3 linked regions of the Schizosaccharomyces pombe genome follow. The protein of the gene in region 2 interacts with the protein of the main gene of each other region in a biochemical or structural test. Each region holds a gene or a part of one and is shown on either strand. Other genes may lie near its edges.

Evidence for each region.
Region 1: the proteins of rho1 (region 2) and gef2 form a complex in vitro, tested with the Schizosaccharomyces pombe proteins (one study listed by BioGRID).
Region 3: the proteins of rho1 (region 2) and pck2 form a complex in vitro, tested with the Schizosaccharomyces pombe proteins (one study listed by BioGRID).

Annotation. Positions count from the first base shown.
Region 1 is NC_003424.3:414,925-426,090, forward strand, and holds gef2 (RhoGEF Gef2), read left to right. Parts: upstream 1-5,017; 5' UTR 5,018-5,541; coding exon 5,542-7,963; exon of another isoform or gene 7,964-8,001; coding exon 8,002-8,229; intron 8,230-8,274; coding exon 8,275-8,383; exon of another isoform or gene 8,384-8,432; coding exon 8,433-8,979; 3' UTR 8,980-9,067; downstream 9,068-11,166. Other genes in the region: bun107 (WD repeat-containing protein), read left to right, coding at 482-761, 839-3,447; Ctf18 RFC-like complex subunit Dcc1, read right to left, coding at 3,551-3,796, 3,835-4,296, 4,344-4,578, 4,678-4,808; pre9 (proteasome core particle subunit alpha 3), read right to left, coding at 9,553-10,299; splicing-associated factor Dre4, read left to right, coding at 11,106-11,145. UniProt on the Schizosaccharomyces pombe protein: Has a role in the control of cell polarity and cytokinesis. Involved in bipolar growth and septum formation.
Region 2 is NC_003424.3:4,220,120-4,228,844, forward strand, and holds rho1 (Rho family GTPase Rho1), read left to right. Parts: upstream 1-3,951; 5' UTR 3,952-4,060; coding exon 4,061-4,131; exon of another isoform or gene 4,132-4,203; intron 4,204-4,366; exon of another isoform or gene 4,367-4,462; coding exon 4,463-5,000; 3' UTR 5,001-5,705; downstream 5,706-8,725. Other genes in the region: plasma membrane TRP-like calcium ion channel Pkd2, read left to right, coding at 1-2,014; protein tam6, read right to left, coding at 2,529-2,774; ribonucleoside reductase large subunit Cdc22, read left to right, coding at 6,863-6,881, 7,198-8,725. UniProt on the Schizosaccharomyces pombe protein: Involved in the regulation of cell wall growth and actin cytoskeleton organization. Activates (1,3)-beta-D-glucan synthase.
Region 3 is NC_003423.3:2,306,038-2,316,838, reverse strand, and holds pck2 (protein kinase C (PKC)-like Pck2), read left to right. Parts: upstream 1-3,830; 5' UTR 3,831-4,001; coding exon 4,002-7,052; 3' UTR 7,053-7,402; downstream 7,403-10,801. Other genes in the region: cyclin CycC-like Srb mediator subunit Srb11, read right to left, coding at 1-69, 148-227, 640-671; SPOM_SPBC12D12.05C (calcium-binding subfamily carrier protein), read left to right, coding at 853-1,014, 1,052-2,170; DNA polymerase zeta Rev7, read right to left, coding at 2,363-2,562, 2,632-2,735, 2,784-2,899, 2,942-3,054, 3,095-3,145, 3,189-3,215, 3,265-3,295; chaperonin-containing T-complex alpha subunit Cct1, read right to left, coding at 7,403-8,908, 9,153-9,238, 9,277-9,324, 9,373-9,403; DNA polymerase delta subunit Cdm1, read left to right, coding at 10,599-10,801. UniProt on the Schizosaccharomyces pombe protein: Involved in the control of the cell shape. Target of the inhibitor staurosporine.

The sequences.
Region 1 (11,166 bases), 3.8 Mb from region 2:
TTGATTCTATTTTCGTCGAGCTCAAACATAATGTTATCTACAATTCTTAGCATCAGCCGCCTAATTATTGCTTTATCAAATGCCAATATCGATCGGACTACTTATTAGTAGGTAAATGGTTTGGAAGTTCATCGTTTCCATCCATTTTTAATGAGCAGTAGGATCCGTTCTTTAACATCTGAGTTATTTGAGGAATTGCTATTCATCGCTAAGTCAAAACATATAATATATTTGTATAGGTACTCGCTACCAAAATATTTGGATCCATTACTGTTTCCTGTTTCCAAGTAAAAGGGTTTATTTATCCGCTGCGTTTTAGACTCAGGACACACTATCTTTCTGCAATACTTTTGAACCTGAATTCATTCAATAAATTGAATTCGACATCATATAATATAAATTTTTATTTTTTACGTTTGAATTGGATTTTTTGTTTATAATTGCATTGTTTTAAGAGATTAATAATTCATTTATTGTTCTCATGAGTGTTCGGAAACGGTACAAGGTTACTTATGTTCTTGATTCCTGTAACGATCAACTAGGGCACCGTTTGGATGCTAATTGTCTAGTGCTAGGTCGGTACTTTTCAGAACAAGGGTCAGCACCAGTTACTAGAGCACTTTACAGTGGTGGCCGAGATGGACAGCTTTTCGGTTGGGACATCGGGTATGATTATGGTAAAGCTTCCCAGCCCTTAGCCAAAATCCAGGCTCATTCTGCTTGGGTAAATGATATAGCTTTAACACATGATTCCGAAGGAGGTAAGCCTTTGAAAAATTTAATTATCTCTGGAGAATAGCGGTAGCCTTATAGAAATTGACGTTCTAACATTTATTAGTGATATCTTGTTCTTCTGATTCAACGGTGAAACTCTGGAAGCCACATGTCTTGAATGCTTCTTGTTTATCAACAATTGGCGAGCATACCGACTACGTAAAGCGCGTAAGCATTCCCAAATATTCCAAGAGTCCGTTAGTCGCTTCGGGTGGGTTGGATAAAAGGATAATTGTATGGGACTACAACGTAGGTCAAGAAGTTATGCGATTTGAACAGTTACCTGACTGTTCTCTTGTTGTTGGTCCAAGATCTGGTGTTTACTCGCTGGCAGCGAATAACAACATAATTGCTAACGGCGGACTACAAAAAGACATTCAGTTATGGGATTGTGTTTCCAAGAAAAGGATTACAGATTTAGTCGGTCATACTGACAATGTTCGAGATATTCTAATTAGTGATGATGGCAGAACAATTCTCACAGCCTCTTCAGACGCTACAATAAAGCTTTGGTCTCTAAGGGCGCAAAAATGTTTATTCTCTTTCATAGCTCATTCAGACAGTGTATGGGCATTATATTCTGAGCACCCAGATTTAAAAGTATTTTATGCTGGTGATCGCTCAGGCTTGATTACTCGTACTGATATAAGAAACCAGCCTAACAACCAAAGCTGTACTGCAATATGCAAGCAGGATGCTCCTGTCTCTGACATTGTTGCTCGTCAATCTTTCATATGGAGTACTAGTCGTGATGGCTCCATTCTTCGTTGGAAGGATGAGCCCCTCTTTAATCAGGACGTGGGAGCAGCATTATCTAAGCATACCTCATCTCATCTTTCTGTATCATCGGACTGTCCCTCGAGACATTCTTCTGACATACGAAATCATAGCTGTCCAACATTATATCACGACGATGCTGAGGATATATATTATGATTTGCATCATACTGAGAGCTATTCTAACATCAATTTAACCAAAACCCCTGATTATGTTATTCATGGTGGTATTGGTTTGTTAAAATATCGAATGTTGGGTGATCGAAGGCATGTCTTAACTGAAGACGCTGTCGGCAATAAATGTTTGTGGGATATACTTGCTTGTAAGCAAGCCGGGGAATTTGATAAGTCAGAAGATTTTGAAAAGATTGTTCAAAGTTTGGATACTGTTCAAGCAATACCTAGGTGGGCTTCTGTTAATTGCCTTTTGGGGATTCTTGCTGTTACTCTTGATGAAAATCACTACATGGATGCCGAAATTTATGCTGATGAATGTCCTCTTCTGAAGGTTGATTCCCCTTCTGATAAAAGAATAAACTTAGGGGTGTGGATTTTAAAAAATTTATTTCGTGAATTTATTGATGCCGAGCTTCATCGTGATTTAAAATTTAGACAAAATTTAGATGTTGTAAGGTCTGAAGCTAAGAAGCAGATAGAAGCCCAGAGAGAAGAAGCAAGAAAGGGAAATGTGAATATGCCATCAGCTTTGTCTCCATTGAGGATTCGATCTCGTCCATCACCTTTATCTCTTCCTCCAGAACCTTTACTTTCTCCTACTATAGATTATTCCGCTACCCCATTCCCCCTCGAGCCTCCCCCCGAAAGTCCTGGTCCGTCTCTTCAAATTCCATCAAACAACCCCGTTTACACAAATTTAACAGATACAGATTCTATGATGGGTGCGCCAGATTACTTTTCGATCCCCGCCAGGCAAAATCGTAACAGAAAGCCACATACTGAGGTAGTTGGATCCCCTACTGTTGTGAGAACGAAAGAGATAATTCCCCCCAAAGTAACTCGTGAAGGTTCATTTATGGGCAGACTTAAAAAACTTGGAAGATCAAAGTCATCCAAATCATTACAAACCGATTTTATGAAAGCTTCTGTAGAGAGAGCTGCGTCAAGCCGCGTTTTCAGTACCGGGACTTCGGTAACTTCTCCGCAAGCATTGTCTAAAACTAATAATACTGTTAATAATGCTGCAAATACAGAAAATAACACACTAGCTAAAGATAAGCAACAAACTTCAGAGGCATCATCACCTGGTACCCCGCGAGAGCTGAAAACGACTGGTGAGTTGATTGAAGATCTTCATGAACAATATGTACATTTTAAGGATAAAGACACCGTTCTTAGTTTAATGAAACCACCAAACGATGATACGTTTCCCATGTTAAATCTTTCGAGTCAGATTACTGTTATCATCAGCGAAGAATCTCCTGAAGCCGGTAATTCTCGTGACATATATCGTTCTACTCTTGAGAACATGGCTGACGATATTGACTTACTTGAAAATATTATGCCCTTTTGGCTTGGAAGATTACTGTTATTAAACGAATTTCCTTCTAAAACTGCCCCTACTGTTAATTTTACTCTTCAGCCTTTTCCTGGAAGTGGTTTACCGCTTATTGTAAATGAAAACACTCGTTTAAGTGCTAGTGCTATGCTTCGTGCTCAGAAAATTATGGATTATAGCTATAGCAAGCTTAGCCAACAAAGAAAGGATGTATCATCCCTTCAATTTAGATGCAAAGATGTCGTCGTTACCCCCAAAATGACATTGGCAACTGTTAAGGCTCGAATTTGGCGATCTGGAGACGACGTTGTCTTTCATTATGATGTTGCTCCTAGATCTGTTTCAGAAATTGTTGATAAAACCCAGAGTCTTAATATTTAAAACTTAAGTTTGATTAAAATTTTAATTGATTTCATAATCCTGTCGAAAATAATGTACAATAAAATCAAGTTTTCAACCTGTATAGTACCGGCCAAATAAGGTTTTACCATGTCCCTCTAGAATTAATGTAAACACCGTCCCTACTGGTTTGTTTTCGCCCATATTTCAATATAAGAGCTTCAACTCTTGATTTCGACAAGGCAAGATCTTTAACGAAACTCCAAAGTTCTTCATATAACCATTTCGACTTAAGTTGAAACAAAGATTGAAACCGCCTACTTGGTTCTCTCGGTAACTGATCTCCTGATAAATACTGAATCGTATTTGGGGTATCGTGAAAATAATAACCCTAAAGAGTTTTAGCATTAGCTGACTAAAATGCCCTACCTTTAATAAATTCAAAGAAGGAAGTCCTTTACAAGGATACGGAAGACGATTATCCCATAACTGAATGAACTCATCGGAGCTTATACTGTTGATGCCTTCTAACAAAAATCGCCCATACCAAAAAGTCGTCAACTCTAAATCGATATTGAATTTTTTAGGTAAGACATTGTCCTTAATGGGTGAAGAGATACTTTCAAGAACACAAATTACTGAATCCCAATCAAATTCGTCATCCATAGCTGGCTTTTTTAAAATCTTAAACTCAAAACTTGCAAAGTCTATGTGTAACTGTTGGGCTATAACAAATATCCAGTCAATAATTGAACATATGTAAGAAGGTGATAATCGGTACAAGAATTCATTCTTTACCATGAAAAAGTTTTTCTGCAAGAATGAATCGACTTCATTTCTGCTAGCAGGAACAGATCGTATAAATTGATCTTTTGTAAGTGAAATGGGCTTCTGTTGAGACTGTTAGTGAAAGGCTAACTATTCAATAAAATGCATACCAATTCCACAGAATCTTCGTCCCAATAAGAAATTTTGTCGTCTGAAAAAATAAACCCATAAATCCGTTCAACTTCTAAAAATGAATAACATGTGTCATTTAATACCCAGTCGGTAGGACTGAGCTCATCAAAAAGCAAATACGAGTTTGATTGAACCACTTGACGCACAGCATACGTTTTATCTGAAGTACAGAGTACTGAAGCCTTTTTATCAAAATCTGATTTAAAGACAATCCTATTATCGATGTTAGATCATAAGTTGTCAAATAGCGATATAAAAAATAAAAAAGTAATGATTCAACTTCAGGTTATTTATACACAAGGAAACACATACTCTTCTTCAGGATTTTCTTCCAGAGTCTTTAATAAATCGTCGTCTAGTTCCAACAATAAATATTCAGAAGAAATATCAGAGCTTGGATGAGGGTATTTTAATAAAATGCATCTTTCTTCATTCGCTTCCATTTAATGTCTCTTTTTTTGTCTATTAAGTAATTCCCGATCTCAATAAATGACAGATTTGACTTTGGGTTGCTATTTTACTTTATTGTTAGAAAACAAGAAAATGATCACTAAAAGATTAAATTAATAATATGGTAAAAGACTAGCAGCTGTAGCGGATTTTCGCTGCAGAAAATTACCATATGTCCTATCGGTGAATGGAGAAATGGAGTAAAACTACCTAATTCAAACAACCACATCGGAGAAGCAGGTTCGGAAGCTTCAAGTGAGATTAGGATATAGTCCCTGAATTGGGTCTATTCCTTTTTCTTTTGTAGCTGTATAACTGGAAGTACTTTCACTAATAAACATTGAATTGAGATTTCTTATAATCATTAATAATTTTTGAGTTGCATAAAAACAATTTCTATCAAGTTCCGTTCTATCGATCTTTTGTAAAAAGTCTTGAAGGTTTAATTTATTTAATAATTCTTTTTCTTGGGAACCATTGCTTCTTTGCTTAAAACTTTTCTTCAGCTTTGCTTGACTGGTCAATATACTATTTGTTTTACTGTTTAAGGGATTTTGCTACCTCTATTTCTTTTCTTTCTACAAGTTTTACAGGTTATCAAGCCATCACATTTAACTGCGGTTGTTGAAAAAAAGCTTACTTGTTTACGTATATTTGGCGAAGTTAAGTTTCATATTTTTGTCTACGCGATTGACCTTTATCTTACTTTTTTCATTTATTTTTACCATGGACGTCGGCACGATGGGTTCGCGTGCTGAACTGTTAGCAATTAGCATTCAATTTGGAGGTCTATGGGTTTTTAGGGATCTGTTACAAATGAATCCTTTGTTTGAGCAAGATCATGTATTTTGTACCTTCAATCATCCAAATATGGGTTTGGTATTGATTTCATTTGCCAAAGTTGATGGTCATATTTTAGCAGCTTATGCTTTATCGAAATTGGGACCTGACACGTTTTCTATATGTTACCCTTTCTCTTCGAAGTTGGATGCTTTTGCGCAAACTTTGGACCTAGAATGGCAAATTGCTAGTATGCATAAGGAAGCTGCTGCATGCGTATATGAGTTTCTTTGCGTGGAATCTGTATGTTTACATACAGGCGAAAATTGGCGAGAGTCAGTCATTGAACCTGAGTATGCTTCCTATATTTTTGATACAATAAACGTTTTCCAGTCATCTTCTCTCACTCGTGAGCTTTATTCTCTTGGCGAGCCGAATGGTGTACGCGAATTCGTGGTAGATGCTATTTTTGACATAAAGGTTGATAACTCTTGGTGGGAAGACCCTTCTAACTCTTATTGGAAAACCGTTATAGGAAGTAGGGAAATGTTTGAGGATTCACGAAAAAAGACTTCAAGTCCGAGTCCGAGTTTTGCGTCTAGTAAAGATGCCGGAACCATACCTGCAATTCAAAAAAAAAAGAGTTTACTCATTGAGATGATGGAAACAGAGAGCACATATGTTGAGAGACTACGCCATTTAGTTAATGATTATGCACTCCCTTTACGGGATTTGGCCAAGTCTTCGAAAAAATTGCTGGGACTTTATGAATTAAACACCCTATTTCCGCCTTGTCTTAACAAATTAATTCAGCTCAATTCTGCTTTTCTTGACGAGTTTGAGGCAATCATGAGTGATTTAAATTTTGAAGATATAGACGAAAAAAAGTTTGAAGAAATTGATCTTCGATTAGCTTGTTGTTTTGAATCTCATTTTTTCGCTTTTTCACAACATTATCCTCGTTACCTTGAGCAAAGTAATGATTTTGGTAATGTTTTAAAGATGGCTTCAAAAATACCCAAATTTGTTGAATTCCATGACCAGGTAAAGCTTAACGCAAACATGAATGTGGGTTTGAGTCAGCTTATTATGGAACCAGTTCAAAGGATTCCACGATATTCACTATTTTTAGATCAGATTATATTATTGACACAAGAAGGAGAATGTCAACATACATACGTGCGCTCAGTTGAGATTATAAAAAATATTGCAGAAATGCCTACAGTTGATGCCGAAGAACGATCAAGGATTTTTGCTGGCTTACAACATATAATTCCTGACTTAGCACCAAACATGATATCTAACTCTCGAAATTTCATAGATTGTATTGACGTGACTAGGGAGTTTCTAAAAAACGGGCAACTGCATTTAATACCTTATACTCTAATTTTATTCAATGATCGAATTTGTCTTGTTCAAAGACGCTCCAAATCAAGTATTGCCTCAACTATATTGGATCTTCGTAAGCAAAATCCTCGCAATTCTTATTCCAAAGAAAAGCGTGCTCAATATATCGGTTCAAATATGAATGAAGCGGTTGAGTTGACAAGAAGTATGGTTGAGGAGAATACTATTTTTTTAATTTCCAAGTATGCATCTTCTCCTTCATTTTTTAATGAGTATCCTATTTTGAAGTTTCGTTGCGATTTTGAAAATGTAAGAACTATGGATAGGTTTTATCAGTCTTTTCAAAAAGCACTTTCAATGAACAAAAGCCAGCCTTCCTGCCTTAGTTTTTCAAAACTCAATGACTTTGTGGTTTTTTTTAATAACTATTCACGATTTGAGTATGAGAAAGAATCAAAACGCTCAGACATAGTATGCATATGCACCAATGATGCCAACGTTGATAAGCATAAATTTTTGCAAGACGGTAATATTGTCATTACTTTTTTTCAACAAGACGAAGATTTTCATTTAAGTTTCGATTCCTGGTTAGGTGTCAGTTTGCCTACTGAAGCTGTTATAGCTAAGGAAGACCTTAGGGAGGCTTGTCTTAATTATCTTATTAATATAAAAAGGCTTCTCCTATGCCCTTTTTCAAATAGAAATTTCTCAAGCTTGGATCTATACTCAAACCTTATACAGCATTTGCTTTCTGCTAATTCCAGCCCACGAAAAAGTAGGTTATCATTTGGAGGAAGGCCCGGAAGCCCTTCTAAAATCAGTTTATCATTGAACAGGTTTTATAATCAAGGCGGTTTATCAAAATCTTGTGCTACACTTCCTTCGCAAATGTACAATTTGGACCATAATAATATTTCACAAAAATCATTGAAGTTTAATACTCATAATACTTCGAAGGCTTCTGCTGAGAAAACTGTCGAACATCTTGAAGCTTTCAAAGGCGGATTTAAATATCATACAGGTAATATTGCAATTTGGATCATAACGTTAACTGAGCAGATTTAAAGAATTTACTATATCCACTGTCTGAAAAGGAGAAGATTGAGGGGGATGAGCTGTACGATAATATTTTGAAGGAAACTTTTAATGAAGAATTACTCTCTCATTACCCACCAAATATTATTTATGCGACCTTTCAAAAATATTTGAGCTCCTTTATCAATCGAAAATTTGGAGTTTTGCTTTCTTCTTCATTCATACAACAGTTAAATACTGTTGAAAATTTAAGTATGTATCGCTATCAAATTTGATTTTTTTTAACTAACATTGAAGATCTATCTTTCAATTCAACTGATGCAGTTTATCATTTGAAAAAAATCTTACAAGACTTACCCGAGAGTAGCCTAAAGATCCTTGAGAACATTTTTTCTATTGCTTCCGAGTAAGTCACCAAGCTTGTTTTTCAGAGGTTTTATTATCTAACGTCGTAGTTTGCTTTTGAGACTTCCTCTTAAAGATCAATGTGATTTTGTTACGAAACAACTAGCAATTGCCTTGGCTCCTTCCATGTTTGGAAGTAATGCTGTAGAACTTGTTTATTACCTTGCATACCACAGTGATCGCATTTTTGGAACAGTAGAGGAATTGCCGACTCCGGTTTCCCCTGCGAATTCCAATAATGATAAACAGTTAGATGAATCGAAATTCCAAGCAATTGCCATGAAAGAAATGCCGGAAAGACACCCTAAGGAAATTTTACCTGGTCAAATAGAACGAGAGGCATACGAGGATTTACGACGCAAATATCATCTGACTCTTGCAAGGTTGGCTCAAATGACTCGATTAAATGAAGATTCTAAAAAGTCTATCCCTCTGTTGTATGATCGCTTCAACCATGATCTTAAGCTTATAAAGCAATCAGTTCAAGCCAGTTTAATTAGAAAACAATGTGAACTAGATACCGCAAAGTGGACTCTTGAAGAGTATGAATCCAAGCTAAACGCTAAGGAAGGTTGTCAAACCAACATATTTATATAGCCAACTAGTCTATACTACATCGATTATTAGATTATTTGTTTTACTATTCCTTTTTTAGATATCAATAGTTATTTTTTTTATCCTTCAATATGTAAGTGAAAGTTAATAATACTCATCAAAAAGTTTTCTCTTATTTTTATAAATAGTATAGAATTGGAATATGCTACACCGTTTAAAATCTTCAGTTATGAAAACTAAGCATATAGTTTAGAACATATGAGAGTCATTGACATTCCATTGGAAATACTATAATTTTAAATATGCCGGAATGGTGTACTCAAGTAGAAATTGACGTTATGAAGGGAATGAGAAAGAAAGGTCTAAGTATAAAAGAAACTTGAAAAAAGCCTTTTTTAAAACGGCATAAGAATTCATAAGATAATGATTTAGCGTAGATAAAAAGAAAGCAAGCCTATATTGAGACGGAATAAGGCTCATGATGGAACTTAGTTTGCTTCAAATTGTTTACAAAAACCATGAGCTAATTACAAGGAGATTAAAGGGTAACGACGAAAGCTATAAAAAACAGCTATACACTTAAAGTGTTTTCCCAATGAATTGAGTAAGGCAATATTAAGATTGCCGCTGGGTCTCTTGGTACTTATTGAGCACTTCATTTATTTCATCTGACTTCCATATTTTGCAAACCATTTTGTTTTTCGTGGTATCCTTTGTTATTGTTGCAAATTCAATTTTTTCATGAGTTAGGGAGTTACTGTCCAACGTTTTACTCAAAAATTTCACGGCCATAGCAGAAGCCTCATCTAAGTTTATATCATCCTTATACTCCTGTCGCATTAAGCTTTGAACACTAGTACTATTTCCTCCGATACTATTTGCTTGCCAGCTTCCGTAATTTCCAGATGGATTAGATTGGAATAGCTGATATCCACGAATATGATCCCATCCAGCATATAAGAATGAAACACCGAATGGACGTAGCCCACCATACTGTGTATAACCTTGTTTGAGGTCACAAACGCGACGAACTAATTGCTCACAAGGCATCTCTTCATTAAAAGTCTGCAAGTATTGTTGCCCAACCCTTCTAGCGTAGTTAATTAGGATGTTTGCATCTGCGGTAAGCCCTGCCACAGCACATAACATATTGTCTCCTATATGATATAACTTTTCTGCGGATTCTTCTTGTTCTAATAGTTTGCTGGTAACCTTCTTTTCAGCAGCTAAAACAATTCCATCTTTAGCTACAATCCCTAAAGCAACGCCAGCATGGTTGATCGCTTCCAATGCATATTCAACCTGGTATAAACGACCTTCAGGTGAAAAAATAGTCGTGCGAGAATCGTAGCTTCTTGACATAATGAATTTGGTTGATGACAAGTTCGAAAATGCGCGAAGCACTAGATCACGAACATTAATGAGGTCTACCGAAGTGCGATTACCACACTTGCTTTATTCTTTATGTGCTTACTACACTACTATAACAGGACTGACTTTTACCTGTCTTCTAATACAATTAATCTATTATGATTTAAATTAGTATGTTGTTAATCCGCTTATTTTTACAAGCTATGCTGTACAACAAATGTCTTTATAAATGAGAGCTATTTTTACGATAATCAATTTACCTTTAGTACTTTCATATCCTCAAGATATAAAGTTATCAGTGTAGGTTGCTAATAATTAAAATCTGCTTGTAAAAATATTTGAACCAGAGGAGTCAATACTAGTGTAAAAATGTAGCTGCTTACAAATACTTCCAGCCTGCCGTTTAACGATTTACCACGAGTTATGAATTGCTCGTAAATTTATGCGGGTTGTTGTAAATTGACAATATTAAAATTGAAGTTCTCGAAAATGTTTTATTATATTGTACTTGGTAGACCATTTCATTAACTTCTTATTTGTTCTAAAGGAAATACTTGGGAAGACGCTACGTGCGGTGCTGTTATGAGGTTTTTGTAGTATATTCAATAATGTTAACTACACCTATGAATTTATGCAATTTATACAGATTTTTTTTAATAGTTTGTAGAAATTTTTTTGTAATTGACATAACTATTCAGCTGGATTTTGCAAAACTGTTCTATCTATTCTCACACACACGCCCACTGAATACTACCTAACATAGTGTCGAACTTAACTTCTTGATTGTACATATCTTAATGTCACAGCCTTTGCCTCCTGGATGGACTGAACATAAAGGTAAATTTAATGAGCAGTTTA
Region 2 (8,725 bases):
ACAGTTATCAGCAAGTAAGCTCTATGCCTCGTATTTTCCGGACAATCAATCTGTTGCCTTTGATATCTCGATACAATCTCTTGTTTCTACGAATGTCAGTATAGACGTCGACATTAGTGCATACGGAATCGAAATAAAGAAGGTGATAGATCCTTGCGATATGGAAATTTCTGGCTTCTGTCCAATGCAGACTGGAAATATTGCTTTATCTGGTAGTCATACTTTAACCGGAGAGGCTCTTTCTATTCTTGATAGTATTCCCTCCATTGCATACACAGTTCCGGATTTAGATGCTGTTGTGACTATTAATATTTATGAATCAGATACAAACACACAATTAGCTTGTGTTCGTACTACAGTGCAAAATGGTCGTTCTGTTTACCACAGAGCTGTTTACTGGGTTATGTGTATGGTAATCGGTATCCCACTTTTAATTTTCTTACTGATATCCCCTGTTCTTCAAACACCCGCACTTTGGGAAATCGTTGAAACGATGATTACCTTATTTCAGTTTGCTCAAATCCAGGCTTTGTATTCCATGATGGCTACTTCTCTTCCTGCTATCATTTACAGTTGGGGCCGTAATTTCATGTGGTCGATGGGTATTATCAGGATTGGCTTCATGCAAGATGTTTTTACATGGTACGTTAAATCAACTGGCGGCACGCCATCTACTCTTGTAGATTTGGGTATACATGCTAATGTCGCCCTCGCAAAACGTGGTATTGATTTGGGCTCTCTCGCCAAGCGTGCAACTACTACTGTCACCACTAGCACAAGTGATTCTATTACCCTGAGGGGAATCAAGCGTATTTCATATATGATGGGGATTGAAACGACGAATTTCTTTGCTACTGGGTTTTCCTTTTTTATTATATTGTTGTTCTTTTCATTACTAGTTGCTATGGCTTCTAGATTTATTGTTGAAATGGTGCTCCTTGCATCCAGAAATCAAGCTTTGAAAAAGCAACGTATCCGTCTTTATTGGAAATCTATATCCAAAGGATTTTTCTATCGTGTGATTTTTGTCGGATTCACTCAAATGAGTGTTTTGTCCATGTGGGAAATCTATACTCGTGATTCTTCCGCTTTGGCATTTTTATCAATGTACGTGATTGTGGACATGGCAGTTTTGCTCTGCTATGCATTTGTGCGGACAATTCAAATTATCCGCAAAACAGGACCTTATTCCCATCCTGACGTCTTGTACAACCTATATTCTGACACTCAACACTTGATGCGTTGGGGCTTTATGTACGTGCAATTAGACGTCCGTTTCTTTTACTTTACTTTCCCACTGTTGCTTATAACCTTGGTACGCTCAATGTTCATCGGTTTTGGTCAGGGCTCACCCAAAGTCCAGGGCTGTGCCATGTTTGGTATTAGCGTTGTCGTTTTTGCTCTTATGGTGATTCTCCGACCTTATGCCACTAAACACATGAATACTTTGCATATCGGTGTTGCTTTAATGAATTTGATAAGTGGTTCTTTTATTTTAGTGATGTGTCAAGCTTTTTATGTGGAGGAATTAGCTCGTCAAGTTATTGGCATTATATTTTTTGCATTGAACGCTATTACAATGCTTCTTTTGATCCTGGGTATATTTATACGTACACTTATCGTCCTGTTCCGTAAATCAGGACATGGTACTTATTACCGTATCCTCGATGACCAAAGCGAGAAGGCTACCTCGTATAACAAATCTATTAAGGATATGAGCTCTTCCGACATGGCCTTCTCTGATCCGGCTTACTCTGGAACTACGTTGAGAAGCTCCGTTGACCTTAATACACCAGAATATCCGTTTTCGAATCGTAATGATTCAGACAGTACGTTCACAAATAACAAATATGTTTCCCCTTGGGACGCTATCGAAGAAGCTTCGTATGCCAACCTTCGTGGAAATACTGACGTCGAACAACCATTTATGGAATCAGATTATACCCGCATCTCTGAAAATAATAACAACGCTGAACGTCGACGCAAACCATTACCTAACAATGCTTTTCGTTAAACGTGGATGGAAAATGTTGTGTCGTATTACATATATATTACATTCCATCTACCTTACACATTCTTTCATTATTATACAATTGTTGTCTCTGAGATTTTTTTAAACTATAATTTTCTACAAAGTTTGGGGTAAAAGACCTTTAAAACAATTCACACAAGCATTCTTACAATGAACTCGACGAGGAGGTTCAATAAGCAATCAATGTCTAAATCTTATTTTTAGACAAAAGTCAACTATTTAGTGTATTCGCATCCTTTTTTTTATTTATGGTTCTTTTTTTAATTATATTTCAGAATTTTCCCTTCATTTCTGCTTCTTTTCTTTTATTCCATAATTGTTATAGTGTATAGGTTTAGTTACCATTTAAGCATATTTGTTGGATGTGCATCAGAAAGCAAAAAAACTTCACCCGTTTGATTAAAATGCAATTTAGTAAAAAACATTTACTTCTGATTCAAGTTACTTCTTCACGTCTTAAGATAACTGATAATAGAAAACGACGTTTATTAACATTTTATTGAAACAATCTATAGACACCGGTAAGAATAAATCCATAAGCCATTCCCAAAATACCGAATCGTTTAAGCTTGTAATTGGGTGTATTCAAAGGAATTCTAGATTGCGAATAGGCATATATTCCTAGACCTGTGAAAGCGCCTGCGCCCACCAAGCGGCATGGCAAGCAATCGTACTGTTCAAACCTTGGATCGTCTAAATCGACGGGTTTGGGAGTTTGTTGGAAACTTGATGATGGCATCATCGAAAGCTATCAGTTTAATTTATAAACTATAAAAAAAAAGTAACCGCGTAAATATATATGTGTATAATTAAGAGGCCACACAGCTTTCAACCACTTTCACTTTATAAACAAGATTAAAGCACTAAAAGGTAAAGTTTACTCAACCCGCTTTTTCTTTTCTTGTCAACTACAAAATGAAATGTCAGCGATCAATAATACGGTATCCAATTTGATAGATGTTCAATAATAACGACTCAGGACTTTTTTCTCTTTCAATTTGTGGGAAATCTATAGGGCGCGCTGTTCAAACTGTTTAATATATTGGTCTTATGTTCTCCAGTACTGAAATGAATCAATGGCAAAAGTTAAAAGAGACAAAGTAGTGAGTTAAGAGCTAAGTTATAGATCTACTGAAACCGTCTGTTTTATTTTAACTATGAAGAAGAATAAAAGAGGCTAAAGTTACATTTCATTTTTGTATATTTGTAGATCTGCTACCGGATCAATATTTTTTTGGGCGATATAATTTTAGTAAAATTAAAGTAGGATTTTATTGATCTCGAGAAATAAGAGAGCAAACAAAACGACGATAGAAAGAAAGAGCATCGTAATATTGCTTTATTACTTCAATCTGACATGTAAAATTATTTTTCGGCACCAAAAATTGCCGCTTTTTGAATTTAGGAATTCATCTCACATTTGCATTTTACAAATAGAATGCTGTTTAATTTTATGAGTATACAATTATAATTATAGCTATTTATACGAAGCTTTGCTTCTTTATGTCTCTTCCAAAAGTTTCTATATTCCTGCTATGTTTATTATTTATAAAATACTGAAATAAAGTGTGTACGTTAAAATAGGATAAGCGGATTAAATGCGTTCCGTTATCTTCGAATATTATGACTAAACTGAATACGTTAACGAAATTTTTCCGCTGGTTTCTGCTTTTTTTGGCGTTTGTGATTCAAACAAAAAAACGTCTGTTGACATCAAGTCGGAGTGGAGACAATCTTTTTGTAATAAAACTGTTTTAATTGCACTTTACACTCTGTACAGGCTCAGCCTCGTCCATACATACTCAAAGGGTTCATCTATAAGAGCGCTAGGGCAAAGTAACGAGATTTAGTGAAGTGTAGTAGCGTCTCCTTCTTTCCTTTCGTTGTTACATGAGCCGCTGACAGCCTAGTAAATAGCTAACCACTGCCACATCGAAGGAAAGAGCGGTGTCAGAATTTGAGTCGAAAAACGTTTATTTACGTCGAAATTTTTCTGTCTAGAGCAGGAGAAAGTAAACAAATCTAGGGATGGCGACAGAACTTCGCAGAAAGCTCGTTATTGTGGGAGATGGTGCATGTGGTAAAACATGCTTATTAATGTAAGTAAAAATGGTGCAAGCGTCGGAAAGGTAGTAGAAGGGTAAAGTAGTTGCTTGGGCCTGTTTTAAATTGGCAAGGGTTTACATCTCTTGCTTAGCATGGCTGGAGAAGAAAATTATTTCCGTAAGCATGTTCATTGCCTCAAGAAAATAATGAAAGAATCCCCATAGAAATGAGACTTAGATGGGGTTTAGATTACATTTAATAAATGTTCCGAGGATTTAATTTGCACTCCGTACCCTGTATTTCTACTTACTCTTTGCTTGCTTATCTGCAATGTTTCACGAGTCTGTGTCATTGTTATACAACTTCTAACATTTTTCTTTATAGTGTATTTTCTAAAGGAACCTTTCCCGAGGTCTATGTTCCCACTGTTTTTGAAAATTATGTAGCTGATGTTGAGGTTGATGGACGCCACGTTGAGTTGGCTCTTTGGGATACGGCTGGACAAGAAGATTACGACCGTCTACGTCCCTTGTCATATCCTGACTCACATGTTATCCTTATTTGCTTTGCTGTTGATTCTCCCGATTCTCTTGACAATGTTCAAGAAAAATGGATTTCCGAGGTTCTCCATTTCTGTTCCAGTCTTCCTATTTTGCTTGTCGCTTGCAAGGCTGATCTCCGTAACGACCCAAAAATTATTGAGGAGTTATCCAAGACTAATCAGCATCCCGTCACCACAGAAGAAGGTCAAGCAGTAGCTCAGAAGATTGGTGCTTACAAATACCTTGAGTGTTCTGCCAAGACGAATGAAGGTGTTCGTGAGGTTTTTGAATCAGCCACTCGTGCTGCTATGCTCAAACACAAGCCCAAAGTGAAGCCCTCTAGTGGAACTAAGAAGAAGAAGCGTTGTATCTTGTTGTAAACAGCTTGTTTCCAAATTTTTTAACTTAGAGAATTTATCTTTTCTGTTTTTATACATCTCTTCAGTCGAAGCACATTCAACAAGTTTCCGTATTTTTTCGACTTATGTTGATTTTTATTTCACCTTCACCTTGGTGGGAGTTTTGCATTGTGTGGCCTATCATGTTACATAGTCATTATATCCTCTCATTCTTTCCTTTTTACTTACCTCAAGTCGTGCCATTTAGTCAGCTTGGCAATGATTTAAGCGCATTTCATATAGCTGTTCTACCATTTCCCCTCACTGTTCTGCAACGTATAGGCACCTGCAAGGAGTATGCGTCTTGTTTTCAGTCTTTGCTTACTTTGCTATACTCTTCGCTATTAGTTTGAAGAAAATTTCCCTTATTGCCTTGTTATTGCATGGTTTTATTTTTCCTATAATACCTTGTTTCTTTTGTTAAGGATTGCCATCATTATTATCCTTTCTACCTAGTCAAAGGACTTGGTAAATTTTTATAAATCGGTAATTTAAAGAATATACACCTCGATTGAAACTCGATCAAAACCCGAATATTTTATAAGCTTTCTCACAGCACGTAATTGCTTATTATCGTGGAACTTTAGCTGGGTCTCCAATTTTGCACTAGAATTATTGTAGAAAATTGAAGCGACATTATCTCTGTTGATAACCTTGCTGGTATACAGGCGCTTGGTATTTTTATACACGTTGATAGTCGAAGTAGCAGATAGCCGTAGTTGATGGTTTAAACATTTTGTATTTTGCGGAAATTTGCACACTGTTTATATCTCATTCTCTTTACGTCAAGCATACCAATGTTTGCAATTTCATGTTTTGAAGGTGACCGTTGTTATTCTATCTATGCATTTGTATTACCATTTGATTTTCACTCTGTCTACAGGCAAGATTATCAGATGAAGATATAAGCATTGTTGACTTTACCTAAAAAAAAGGATAATTGCGAGGGAGCAAATAGTGAATTAAAGGGAAAAGAACAAAGTTTTTGTAGCTACTAAAAGCTGTTTGTCTATCTCTATGTGTACCTTTTATAGTGCTTATAAGTAAAATGCAGAGTCGAAATCTTCATGCTTTAATGTAAAGCATTAGTAAGGTTACATATTACAACAGAAATGGGAATCAAAATCTTAAATCTAAAAGTTGAGAGGTCTTAACAAAAAAGCTAACTCAACTTAGCTTTACAATTTATAAATCAAGGAAACAATACTTTATCAATTGTATGTTATGATCTTCTCCAACAGGTAATTGACAACATCAAAAAGTAATATAAAGAACAAGGGGAAATTGATATCTAGATATATTAGAGAAATTAGTAGTTCAATCTCATAGAGCAGGTTGGTAGTCGGGTTGGACCGCGTGTTTAATTTATGTAAACAGTCGCGTCGCGTTGCAATTGAGACGCGTAAATAAATATTTAATTTATTACATTCAGTCGTAAACAGAGTATTTATAAACACTTTTTTTATGTTTAATAAAAGATAAATGTAACAGTTGAATGTATTGTATCAGGTCAGACCACTTCAACATGTTTAATCGCGTTTTTTTAAAAAAATATTTTTTTAATTTTTAAAAGTCGGACTTATTTTAGCGGAACTTTGATGTTCAGAAGTGAAAAAGATAAATCTATTTAGCAAGTCTTAATTAACGTCTTTTAGATATAGTAGAGCTACAAAAATGATCCGGTTTCCACTCTTAGCTTTATTTATTTACATTGATCAACATGACTTAAAGTTCGGATGACGCGACGCGGCATCACGTTATATTAGCGTGACGCGTCTGAACGCGTTTTTCATTTACTATAAATATTCCCGGTATTTACCACCTTACAAACTAGAACAAACACGATGTTTGTATACAAAAGAGGTATGAAACAGGAAATAAAATACAGTTAGAAGATTAGTAGAAATTTTGTTACAACGTTGCCGTTTCGAAAAATGTCGTGATTTTACTGGGGAGTAAATGTTTAAAGAAACTGAGATTTTTCTATTTGTTTAAGCGTGTCATTCAGTATTCACTGTTTGTTGTGTGCAGAGATGTTTAAGCAAATGTTCTTTTAGCCGTTTGCTCTACTTCCAAGTGTTCGGTTGATTGCTGACAGATTCGTTGCTGGTGGCGTTGTATTCAAAATTGACTGACTGTTGACATTGAATCGAAAAGCAATAATGTACTAACTGTATAGACGGACGTCAAGAGAAAGTGGCCTTTGACAAAATCACTGCTCGTGTTTCGAGGCTTTGTTATGGCCTTGATTCCGATCATGTTGATCCCGTCGAAATCACTCAAAAAGTCATTTCTGGTGTGTATCCCGGTGTTACCACTATTGAATTGGATAATTTAGCTGCTGAAACTGCCGCGACTATGACTACAAAGCATCCTGATTATGCTATTTTGGCTGCTAGAATTGCTGTTTCCAACTTGCATAAGCAAACCGAGAAGGTGTTTTCAACTGTCGTTCAACAGCTTCATGACTATGTAAATCCCAAAACAGACAAGCCTGCCCCCATGATCTCTGACAAAATCTACGATATCGTAATGAAACACAAGGACGAATTAGATAGTGCTATCATATACGATCGTGATTTCACTTACAATTTCTTTGGCTTCAAGACTTTAGAGCGTTCTTATTTATTGCGTATCGACGGCAAAGTTGCTGAGCGCCCTCAGCATATGATTATGCGTGTCGCCGTTGGTATCCACGGTGAGGACATTGAAGCTGCTATTGAAACATACAATTTGATGTCTCAACGCTACTTTACCCATGCTTCACCAACTCTTTTCAATGCCGGTACTCCTCGTCCCCAACTCTCTTCTTGTTTCCTCGTTACGATGAAAGACGACTCTATTGAAGGAATCTACGACACACTCAAGATGTGTGCTATGATCTCCAAGACCGCTGGCGGTATTGGTATTAATATTCACAACATTAGAGCAACCGGTTCGTATATTGCTGGAACTAATGGTACTTCCAACGGAATTGTCCCCATGATTCGTGTTTACAACAACACAGCTCGTTATGTTGACCAAGGAGGTAATAAGCGTCCTGGTGCCTTTGCAGCCTATTTGGAGCCTTGGCATGCCGATGTTATGGACTTTTTAGAACTTCGAAAGACTCATGGCAACGAGGATTTCCGCGCACGCGAAATGTTCTATGCCTTGTGGATTCCTGACTTGTTTATGCAACGTGTTGAACGTAACGAGCAATGGACCTTCTTCTGCCCCAATGAGGCTCCAGGTTTGGCAGATGTTTGGGGTGACGAGTTTGTTGCCCTCTACGAAAAGTATGAGAAGGAGAACCGTGGTCGTCGTTCATTACCTGCTCAAAAAGTTTGGTACGCCATTCTTCAATCACAAGTTGAAACTGGTAATCCTTTCATGTTGTATAAGGATTCATGCAACCGTAAGTCCAATCAGAAGAATGTTGGTACTATTCGCTGCTCAAACCTGTGTACTGAGATTGTTGAATACTCTTCTCCTGACGAAGTTGCTGTTTGTAACCTTGCTTCAGTTGCTTTGCCCACATTTATTAAAGACGGAAAGTACAATTTCCAAAAGCTTCACGATGTCGTGAAGGTCGTTACTCGTAACCTCAACAAGATTATCGACGTTAACTATTATCCTGTTCCTGAAGCTCGCCGTAGCAATATGCGCCATCGTCCCGTTGGTTTGGGTGTTCAAGGTCTTGCCGATGCTTTCTTCGCTCTTCGTTT
Region 3 (10,801 bases), on a different chromosome or scaffold from region 2:
TTAATAAAACGATGGCTGTAGCTAAGACACGCTGCCGAAGCCTGAGCCTGTCTCCAAACGTTTGTACAACTAGAATTGTATCAGCAAAACGAAGTGTAAATGAAATCACAAGCTAGAATAAGCCGAAAAAAATTAATGAAAATATACCTTTCCATTGATATATTGTATCTTTAGATAAGCAAGTTGGTTCCAAAGATTCCAAATCTGTGGATAAGAATAATTGTGTTCTGTAAGGTCAGCTTGAAAAAGTATACTAAGGAATAATAAAGGTTCGAAGATATTTTAAACAAAAACTAACAAAGAGGCTAAAATCGCTTTAAATTAAAGTCAACGAAACGAATGAGAAGCCGAAATAAACTGTGATTGCAAGACATTTGCGCAAAATGACTCAAACAAGATACATCCAGTTTAGTCGATACTCGTGACTAGAAGTAGACAGAAAAGCTATTCCTCTGATCAGTAATTAGACGTAGATCAGCTCACTCGCAAGCCTCAATTTGTCAAGAATATGTTCAGCAGTAATAAAATAGAAAAGCAGATATTCAAAACTCAATTAAGACATTTTAAAGAAGAATAGGAATGAATTAAAGGCCAATTACCTTCTCGTAAAACCTTTAAAATTAAAATTGATAACCTTACAATTGACTAGAGGCCCAGTAATTTGCTGCCATATATCACACGATATTTTAAGCTGATTGACCCTTAAATATCATAAGAGATAATAAAAAACAGTGTCACAGATTTTACTATTTACGATAAATTTTCATGGGCTGCTGGTATGGTCAGATACATTGACCTGTGAGGACTCACCTATTTCTCTTTACCCCGGTACACTCATTACCGGCATGAAGGATGCCAACTGAATTATCTGATATCACTATACAAAGCGTACTTCCATGTGATTATAGTTTGTTTAAAAATAATTTACGGGTTTCAAGGCTTCCAGAATCGCGATTTGTTTTTTCCCCAAAAGAAGAAATAAATTGCCAATCTCTTCTTCAAGGTCCGGAATTGGTATGTTTAATGTAAAAGGATTTTCTTTAACCATTAGAAAACTGCTTTAGATAATTTAAACTTCATTCATAAACAGAAATTTGAGCATCAATTTCGACATGGCTATTGGAAATTGCACCCACATCCGCATCATCAACATGATTCAATAATTCCTGCAAGTTGGATTCATGATACTCCGCATATGAAACTCGTCTTTCATCGTTTACAGAATTTACCTGACGGTGATCTGTTACTAGAGAATGACCCTAAAAATAACGTTGGTTATTTCATTAGCGGAGGGATTGCTGGAATCGTCTCTCGTACCTGTACAGCGCCATTAGATCGGCTAAAAGTCATGTTGATTTCAGACACTGGTTCTAAACCTTCCCCGAAGTATCCTTTTGCTACTTTGCTACATACCACTAAAGTTTTATGGAACCGTAATGGGATACGTAGCTTCTTTGTGGGAAATGGCATTAATGTTTTAAAGGTGATGCCTGAATCCTCCATAAAATTTGGTACATATGAAGCGATGAAACGAGTACTTGGAATATCTTCAAGCTCTGAAAATCATAGTCCTCTTTATTCTTACTTAGCCGGTGGCATGGCTGGTTCAGTTGCTCAAATGTTTATATATCCGGTAGATACTCTGAAATTTCGCATTCAGTGCAGCGATTTATCTCGTGGTCAGCATGGAAAAAGCATTATTTTGTCCAACGCAAAGGAACTTTATAAAAGCGTTGGGATACGGGGTTATTACAGAGGCGTGCTCGTGGGCATACTGGGTATGTTTCCATACAGTGCAACAGATTTGGGAACATTTGAGGGCCTTAAGAGGACATGGATAGGTATCTTAGCAAGTCGTGACAATGTCGATCCACAAGATGTGAAACTTCCTAATGGTTTAGTGATGGCATTTGGAGCACTTTCTGGAAGCACTGGCGCTACCATAGTGTTTCCACTTAATGTCATACGTACTCGTTTACAAACGCAAGGTACGTCTGCACATCCTGCAACATACGATGGATTTATAGACTGCTTTTACAAAACTACAAAAAATGAAGGTTTCCGTGGGCTTTATAAAGGATTGTCTCCTAATTTGTTGAAGGTAGCACCTAGTGTCGCTATTTCATATCTGGTATATGAGAATTGCAAAAAATGGTTGGGCCTAGAGTAAGGCACATTTTCTAACTATTTATAATTCTTATTGGTAGGGACCTTTACTTCAAAATTAATAATTCTTTCATTGATAATGATAATCCTTTATCGCAAAACTGATTCTTTATTTACTTTACCTAATCCCCTCTTATTTCATAGCAGATACCCATTTTTCTTGCACTACATTCTGAAAAGAAAATTAGAGATACCTCTAATCCGAATTTGTATATTTCTCGACCCAAATTTCCGTCATCATTGGTCCAATATCCACATTTCGAACAGGAATGGTGATGCCCTTAAATTGCCTTGTTGCGTCTGTTTCTCTCGCTTGCGGCGGAAGAAACCACTCTTCCCATTGTTTTGGTCTGGGAAAACCATCTTTTAGCGTTACCCGAAGCGTCCAAGTGCATTCTAATTTCAGTATTATTAGAATTGAATTTAGTAATAGAATATTTTTTTAGAAAATAATACTGTTTATACCTTGTTCAATAAGAGGAAGTCCATTTGTTATATTGAGTAATTGGATGAGCGAAGCTCTCATGTATTCAACGTAAGCATCTGTGAATGGCTCATTTGTTGAAATTCTACAATATTGTTAAAAGATGCCTATGCCAAGCTAATGATAGTCATACTGTTTCTCAAGTAAGAAATCAGGAATAATCGGGATAGAATCCGTTGAAAAGACATATCGTTCCTCTTCTCGCTGCTCTTTGTTAATAATAGAGAGTGCAACTTGATGTACTGATCCCTAGACGAGCAGTTAGAAAAAGAATTGGATGACTAAGAATACCGTCTGAAGCTCCTCGATACAAGATTGCACTACTTCTTCAATATATTCGCACAAGATCGGATGCCTTGATTGCCAGACAATTGTATTGTATTTTCGAGCTTTTATAAAAAGGTCTAATATGAGAGTTAAATCAAAAGCTAAAAAATCGAATACCTTGAGGATAGAGTCTTCTAGCGTAAAGAATACAATGAATGCTTACAAGCACTGAATTGTAAGCAAAAATGGAAGTTCAAAGTTGCACACATACAAAATTCTCCAAATATATCAATACATTCTAATAGTTTAGCAAGCAAAAGACCCAAATAATCATACTAATAACATACTTTTCACAGACCATCCTGTGTCGTTTTCCATCAGACATGAACGATACGATGATTACTATATTCAAAAATTTCTTAATATGTTCGTTCAAATTCGAGAATTCTATCTTTTCTGAATGAAGCGAGAAAATAAATAAATTATAAAGTTATTAAACCAAAGATATGCAAACTAAAAGAATATCAGCAAACATAGTAATTACATGGATTACAATAACGTACCCGCGATTATTGACGGGATTCCGTAAAACTAACAAAAGACAAATAAGATAGCTGGATAATGAACTGTTCTATTAATTGGTCAATATTTTTTTATTTTGCGTTATTACAATTTTAGCATCAATCAAATAAAATTGGACATGTGACAAAAATATTTATGGGGTAAAGTTCTGTAAAATCGTTATTTTCAAGATTAACGTGCCAAAATCCTTCGAAATTATAACAGGGGTCGCTGAAAAATTTGCCCATATATTTCAATAAATTTTGAAAAAGGAATGGAGTGGTGGGATTCTTTGAATTGCTTGCGAAATCCCTGCGAGCTTGCCAGTCTTACTTCATAGCTACCGCCTTCCAACTACTAAACGTACGAAAACATCGAAAGGACTAAAGCGGGTGTTTACTAGCATTTTATCGAGCTTAAAAGTCTTAATGAAATCTTATAATCACATTAATATTAAAAACGGAAGCGAAAAATTGCAGATAAGAAGTTAAGCGGAAAAATCAGGATTAGGCCATTTAAAGTAATGGATATGATTGATGAGGCTATAACAGAAGTTGTTAGGAAAATTGAAAGAGAAAGATCAGTTATTCATGGCGCCCTTTCCATGAAGCGCTTGACTCAGAATCAGACAGTTCACCAACAACTTCATAGCAATATTGAAGAATCAAAAAAGAGCATTATTTATTTAGAAGAACGCTTAGAAAAACTAAAGCTTCGCAAAAATGGTGTCCGAAAGAGTAATTCTGAGAAACCGTCCGTTGGCATTGAGAAGAATCCATCCTTTAGCACTACAAAATCCGCTAAAAGCTTTTCCTCTACTTCTTCTAATATCGATTCTAACTTGGATTTGCTAAATTATGATACCCCTCTTACTATTTCAAAGATATCATTCTTATTACAACAATTGGAGTTCAAATTATCTGTTGAGGAACAATATCGAAAAGGTATTGAAAAGATGGCAAAGCTCTATGAGCGTGAACATGACCGTCGTAGTATAGCTGAAGCAGAGAAGAAGTATGTAGAAAGTGCTCAAAAGATTACCTTACTCAAGCAAGCTTTGAAGCGATACCATGACTTGCATATCGAAATCGATGAGGAAGATGTTCCCAGTACGGAAAGTAGAGGTAACTTAAATGCCCGTCGTCCCCAGTCTGGTCTCCTTAAAATTACCGTAGGATCTCTAAGGAACGTCACGCATTCTGCTGGAATCTCCAAGCAAACGGAAATGATAGTTGCAATTCGTGCAGAGGATCTTGAGCGTGCACGTACTCGTCCAAGCCGCACCGACCGTTTTAATGAAACTTTTGAAATTGATCTGGAGAAGACTAATGAGGTCGAAATAGTTGTTTACGAAAAGAAAAATGAAAAATTGCTATTACCTGTTGGTTTACTTTGGATACGGTTATCGGATTTAGTAGAAAAACAAAGGCGAAAAAAGGTTGAACAAGAGGTTTCAGATAAAGGTTGGGTTAGTGCCGACAAAATGATTAATCAAAGACTTTCAATATTTTTACCTTCTGCTCTTAATAATATTTCAAAGCCTGAAAGTACTGACCGCCCCAACACAGCTAGCGGTAATCAAAGTGTGAGTGCTTGGTTTTCTCTTGAACCCATGGGACAAATTAATTTGACCATGAATTTCACAAAGCATAATACAAGGAAGAGACCTATGGATGCTGGCCTCGGTCGTCAAGGTGCTATCCGTCAACGCAAGGAAAGCGTACACGAAGTTTATGGTCACAAATTTCTACAACATCAATTTTATCAAATTATGCGTTGTGCTTTATGTGGAGAGTTTTTGAAGAATGCTGCTGGTATGCAGTGCATTGATTGTCATTACACCTGTCATAAAAAATGCTATCCAAAGGTAGTTACTAAATGCATTTCAAAGTCTAGCGATTCTGCTTCTAGCGAATACGAGAAAATCAACCATAGAATTCCTCATCATTTTGAATCTCACACAAACATAGGTGCTAATTGGTGCTGTCACTGTGGCTACATCCTTCCTTTAGGAAGAAAAACTGCCAGGAAATGTACGGAGTGTGGAATAACTGCGCACGCTCAGTGTGTTCATCTTGTTCCGGATTTCTGTGGTATGTCTATGGAGATGGCTAACCGGGTTATTTCTGAGATTCGTACAACTAAAATTTATAAAGCTCAACAACATAAACAGAAAAGTTCACATCACAAGCATCATCATCATAAAAAGTCTAAGTCTTCATCTTCGAAACATAAGGAAAATGACAAAGCATCCGTTTCTATTACAACCACCACAACACCATCTATCACTCCTGCAGACCCTGTTCCAACTTCTCCAAAACCACTGGCAATTGAACCGGTTAAAAGAAAGCCTGTACATGCCGGTAATTTAGAAGTGACATCAGTCTCTGATAATAAACTTGGCGCTACAGTTCAGGTTGTCGAGCAGAAAGTGGATGACAAAGCTGATGCGTTGACGAAACCTCCTTCCCTAGATGCTGTGAAAGAGCCAATCCCAGTACCATCAGTTGAAACCTCTGTTGTTGCTCAAGACCTAACGCATAAAGCTAAGCGTATCGGACTTGAAGACTTTACTTTCTTATCTGTGCTAGGCAAAGGAAATTTCGGTAAAGTAATGCTGGCTGAGCTTAAAAGTGAAAAGCAATTGTATGCTATTAAAGTTTTGAAAAAGGAATTCATCTTAGAAAACGATGAAGTCGAAAGCACTAAATCCGAAAAACGCGTTTTTCTCGTTGCCAACCGAGAGCGTCATCCATTTTTGGTAAACCTGCATTCTTGCTTTCAAACCGAAACCCGTATTTACTTTGTCATGGATTTTGTGAGTGGTGGTGATTTGATGCTTCACATTCAACAGGAACAATTTTCACGTAGAAGGGCACAGTTTTATGCTGCTGAGGTGTGTCTTGCTCTAAAATACTTTCATGATAACGGTATCATATACCGTGATCTTAAGCTTGATAATATCCTTTTAAGCCCAGATGGTCATGTTAAAGTGGCCGATTATGGTTTGTGTAAGGAAGACATGTGGCATGATAACACTACTGCCACGTTTTGCGGTACTCCTGAATTTATGGCACCGGAAATCTTATTAGAACAGCAATATACGAGAAGCGTTGACTGGTGGGCTTTTGGTGTACTAATTTACCAAATGCTGCTTGGTCAATCTCCATTTAGAGGAGAAGACGAAGAAGAAATTTTTGATGCAATTTTATCTGATGAACCTTTGTATCCTATTCATATGCCAAGGGATTCCGTTTCTATATTACAACAACTTTTGACTCGCGATCCTAAAAAACGACTTGGATCTGGCCCTAACGATGCAGAAGATGTCATGACTCATCCATTTTTTAGTAACATTAATTGGGATGACATCTATCATAAGCGAACTCAACCACCGTACATTCCAAGTTTGAATTCACCTACGGACACCAAGTATTTCGATGAGGAATTTACCCGAGAACTCCCAGTTCTTACTCCTGTTAATTCTATTCTGACGAAAGAGATGCAGCAACATTTTGAAGGTTTTTCTTATTCATGCGAGGATGATAAACCCTCGACTACCGATAATGCTTAGCACCTTAAATTGAGCATAAAGTTACTCTCATTTTCTTAATCTTTCATTGCATTGATAAATTATTCTAATTTCGACTTTTTAAACTAAACATTTTTGGATTTCTTTACTACCTGGGTTGTATCTATGATATTATAAGCATGCACATTAATAATCCATACAGTGGCATTAGACTTTTGTTTATGAAAGCACTAGCAAAGTAGTAATTTACTGAGTTTAATAATTTACCGTTTATTGGTCAACAGCTATAGTGCTAATATATGTTAATATCCATCGCATTTGTATCTATGGAGCAAAATTTTTGGATACATTCAATGAAACCCGCCAAATATACCTATGCTTAAGTAATTGCTTTAGTGCAACCCTGCATGTGGGTCTTCTGGTTGTCTTTCGGGATCAAGTTTGATACTAGTATCGATACGTAAAATAGCAATGCATGCCTCAACGGCGCTCTTCAAACTTTTCAACTTAGACATGGATGGCTCAAGAACACCAGCCTTAACATTATCACGAATTACGCCATTAAGTAAATCAAGACCATAATTTTTGTATCCCCGTTTCTTAACATCTGTAACCTCAGCATTTTGACTGGCTGCGTGATAAGCACGCAACTTAGCTGTCAGTTCAGTAGAGTCTTTGGCGGCATTGACGGCCAAAGTTCTGGGAATAATTAACAAAGCTTGTGCAAACTCAGCAATTGCAAGTTGCTCACGAGAGCCCAAAGAGGTAGCAAAATTTTCCAAGTAAATGCTCAGAGCTGTTTCCACAGCGCCGCCACCAGGAACGACTTTGCCGCTCTCAAGAGTGCGTTTGACGACGCTTAAAGAATCATGCATTGAACGCTCCATTTCATCTAAAGAGTATTCATTGGGGCCTCGCAGAACAATTGATGCAGACGAATAAGCTTTGGTTCCTTTGACAAGAATACATTCATCATCCGAAAATTTTTCTTGAACAACCTCTTCAGCCGAGCCCAAGTAGGAACTTTCAAAGGTTTCTTCACCCTCTAAATTTGACAATGAACTGAGTAAGGTAGCACCGGAAGCCTTGGCGATACGTCTCAAATCTTCCTTTTTGCATCTACGAACAGCCATTGCGCCAGCTTCAATAATGGATTTCAAACAGAGATCATCAATGCCCTTTGTGGTAAGAATAACATTGGCACCCGCATTGAGAATTTTTTTGACGCGTTCCAGCGTAATCATAACTTCTCGTTCACGGATCTTTTCAAGTTGATCGGGGTCATCAATCGTCACATGCACACCTAACGCCATTTTAGTTTTTTGCAAATCCATATCCAAAACAGCAATTTTAGCATTCTGAACACGAGTTTTCATAGCTTGACTGGCAATGGTACAATTTAAAGCATAACCTTTAACCAGGACGGACTCTCGAGAACTTTTGCCATGTGCCTTCAAAATGTTGACAGCTTTAACAGGGTAACGGGTCTCACCCTTAGAATTAGAAGTTTTGACGGAAAGCATTGCGTCAACAGCCATGGTTGAAAAAAAGTCTGAATCATTACCAATAATTTTTGAAGACATACTGGTTTTGGCAACGTTAATAAGACTCTCTTTTCCCAAACTATCTACGCTGCAGCTCAAGACATCTGTCATAAATTTTACGGCTTCACGGATAGCAAGTCGATAACCGGTTATAATAGTAGTGGGGTGAATTTTGTTTTTGACAAGCTCATTCGCACGTCTCAACAATTCAGCCGCAATAATGACAACACTAGTAGTTCCATCACCTACTTCTTTGTCTTGTTGTTGAGCTAATTCAACCAGCACTTTACCAGCAGGATGTTCAACATCCAATAATGATAAAATGGTAGCACCATCGTTTGTAACAGTAACATCCTAATACAAGTTAGATAGAAATAAAAGAAAGTAAGAAAAAATATAATAAAAGATGAACTATAATGGCAGGAATACTTATTAATTCGATTCACAATATAAGGTTGACTCTTCCCTGCCAATTAAGATTTCCTTAAATGCGAGAAGATTACAACACTAGCGTATCAAATCAATAAATATTGGTTAAAGGCCAATATCCCCCATTATTGTCTAAAATTTTCTTTTCTTCACGAGGTCTTTAACATACACCAATATCGTCAACGAGCATTTTGTCTAACCCGACAGGACCCAAGGATGATTTGACGACATTCGCAATTGCGGTCGTTGCCAAAACTAAAATGTTAAAAGTTATGAAAAGAAAATTAACATACCATTTTGGTTTCGTACGTCCTCTCCACTGATTTTTTCACCACTCAAAACTACAACATGTTAATAATTTACCATCCAGCGCAATATTGGATGCTTACAAAGAGTGGATTCTCTCGGTGCTTGAAACATTTCAGCTAGATTCGATGTTCTCCTCTAAACTGATTAACAATCTTTGTTTACACGTTTGGCAGACGTCGAGGGAGGAAGGTTCTTTGAAATGTACTAAAAGCATTCAAACCCTCTAAGTGTTACCTCATATAGCGTAATGTTACCCTCTTGGTGGAAACTAAAATTCTGCAACACAAACTACCTGTGCACTATTTGCAGCATAGGGACAATTAACAAATTCAATAATTTTGATTTACGAAGGATGTCTTTCACGTTTGAAAGCATTATGTAAATTTATCGACTGCATTAAAAAATATAACAATTTGGTTGACTACACTGTATTTAATGATAGTGCAGTTTAATCATTGAGAAAGCCCGGTCAGTTTGTTTACCACTGTATAACTAACAGTTTAAAAGCCCTTAAAAAAAGACAACTTAATGAAACTAGATACTTAAATTACTAAAAGCTGTAAGGGAATTGAAGTTTCAACTGTCTTTGTGCTTCAATTGCAGTGTAAAAAGTTACGCTGTTTTAGCAAAGCACAAAAGACAAATTTTGCAATACTCAAAGCTATTTAACTATAAATTTTTTAAATTTTGAAAATGTTAATAAGTATATCTATTTGCATTTACGAAATTGCCTATTTTAAATCGGTAAAGACCAAAACCCTTTTTAGAAACGTATTAAAGATATGTTAGGAAGGCTGGCAAGTGATTCAATTGCATGACCAAGGCTGGATTAAGACAACACGTATTGCTAAAATACTTGTATCTAATTATGAAATTTCCACAATACTATCTGAACTAATAACGAGTATTGTTTACTTCTTGTTTGCTCCAACAACGAACTAGAAATACCGAAATAGGGGTCGTCAAGAAGTTTCTATTTTAATAATTATCAATAATGCACTTAAATACTTGGACCTAAATGAATAATAATATATATGAAGGCTGATATATGTATAACGATAAAGAACGAGCGGATGGCTGGATACTTATTTTCTCGTCAGCGTGACGCATTTTAAACATCGCTATAGTAGTCATCTAAAGTTATATATACATATTAAAAGTACACTTGCAACCAAATGTACTTTTTCAGAGATTTCTTTTGGCCAAACAAACTAATGCTCTAAATTGAGTAAACACGAAAAAGAATTGGATTTATAGTGCACCTTTCATTCTAGTACCGCAGTGTTACAGAATTATATCACGCAGTATGAAGAAGCGCACTACTCAAGCGAAAAAATCAGGGCAAAACACTAATATTCGCGACGTGTTTCCACATGTAGTTCGAAGTAATTCAAGTCAATCCCACATAGGGAAGAAAGTGAGTTCTGAACAGTCGCCTACACCCGATGTTACAATTACAACCAAAACCTTGGATGAGAGAATTAAAGAAGACGATGAGCTTTCAAAAGA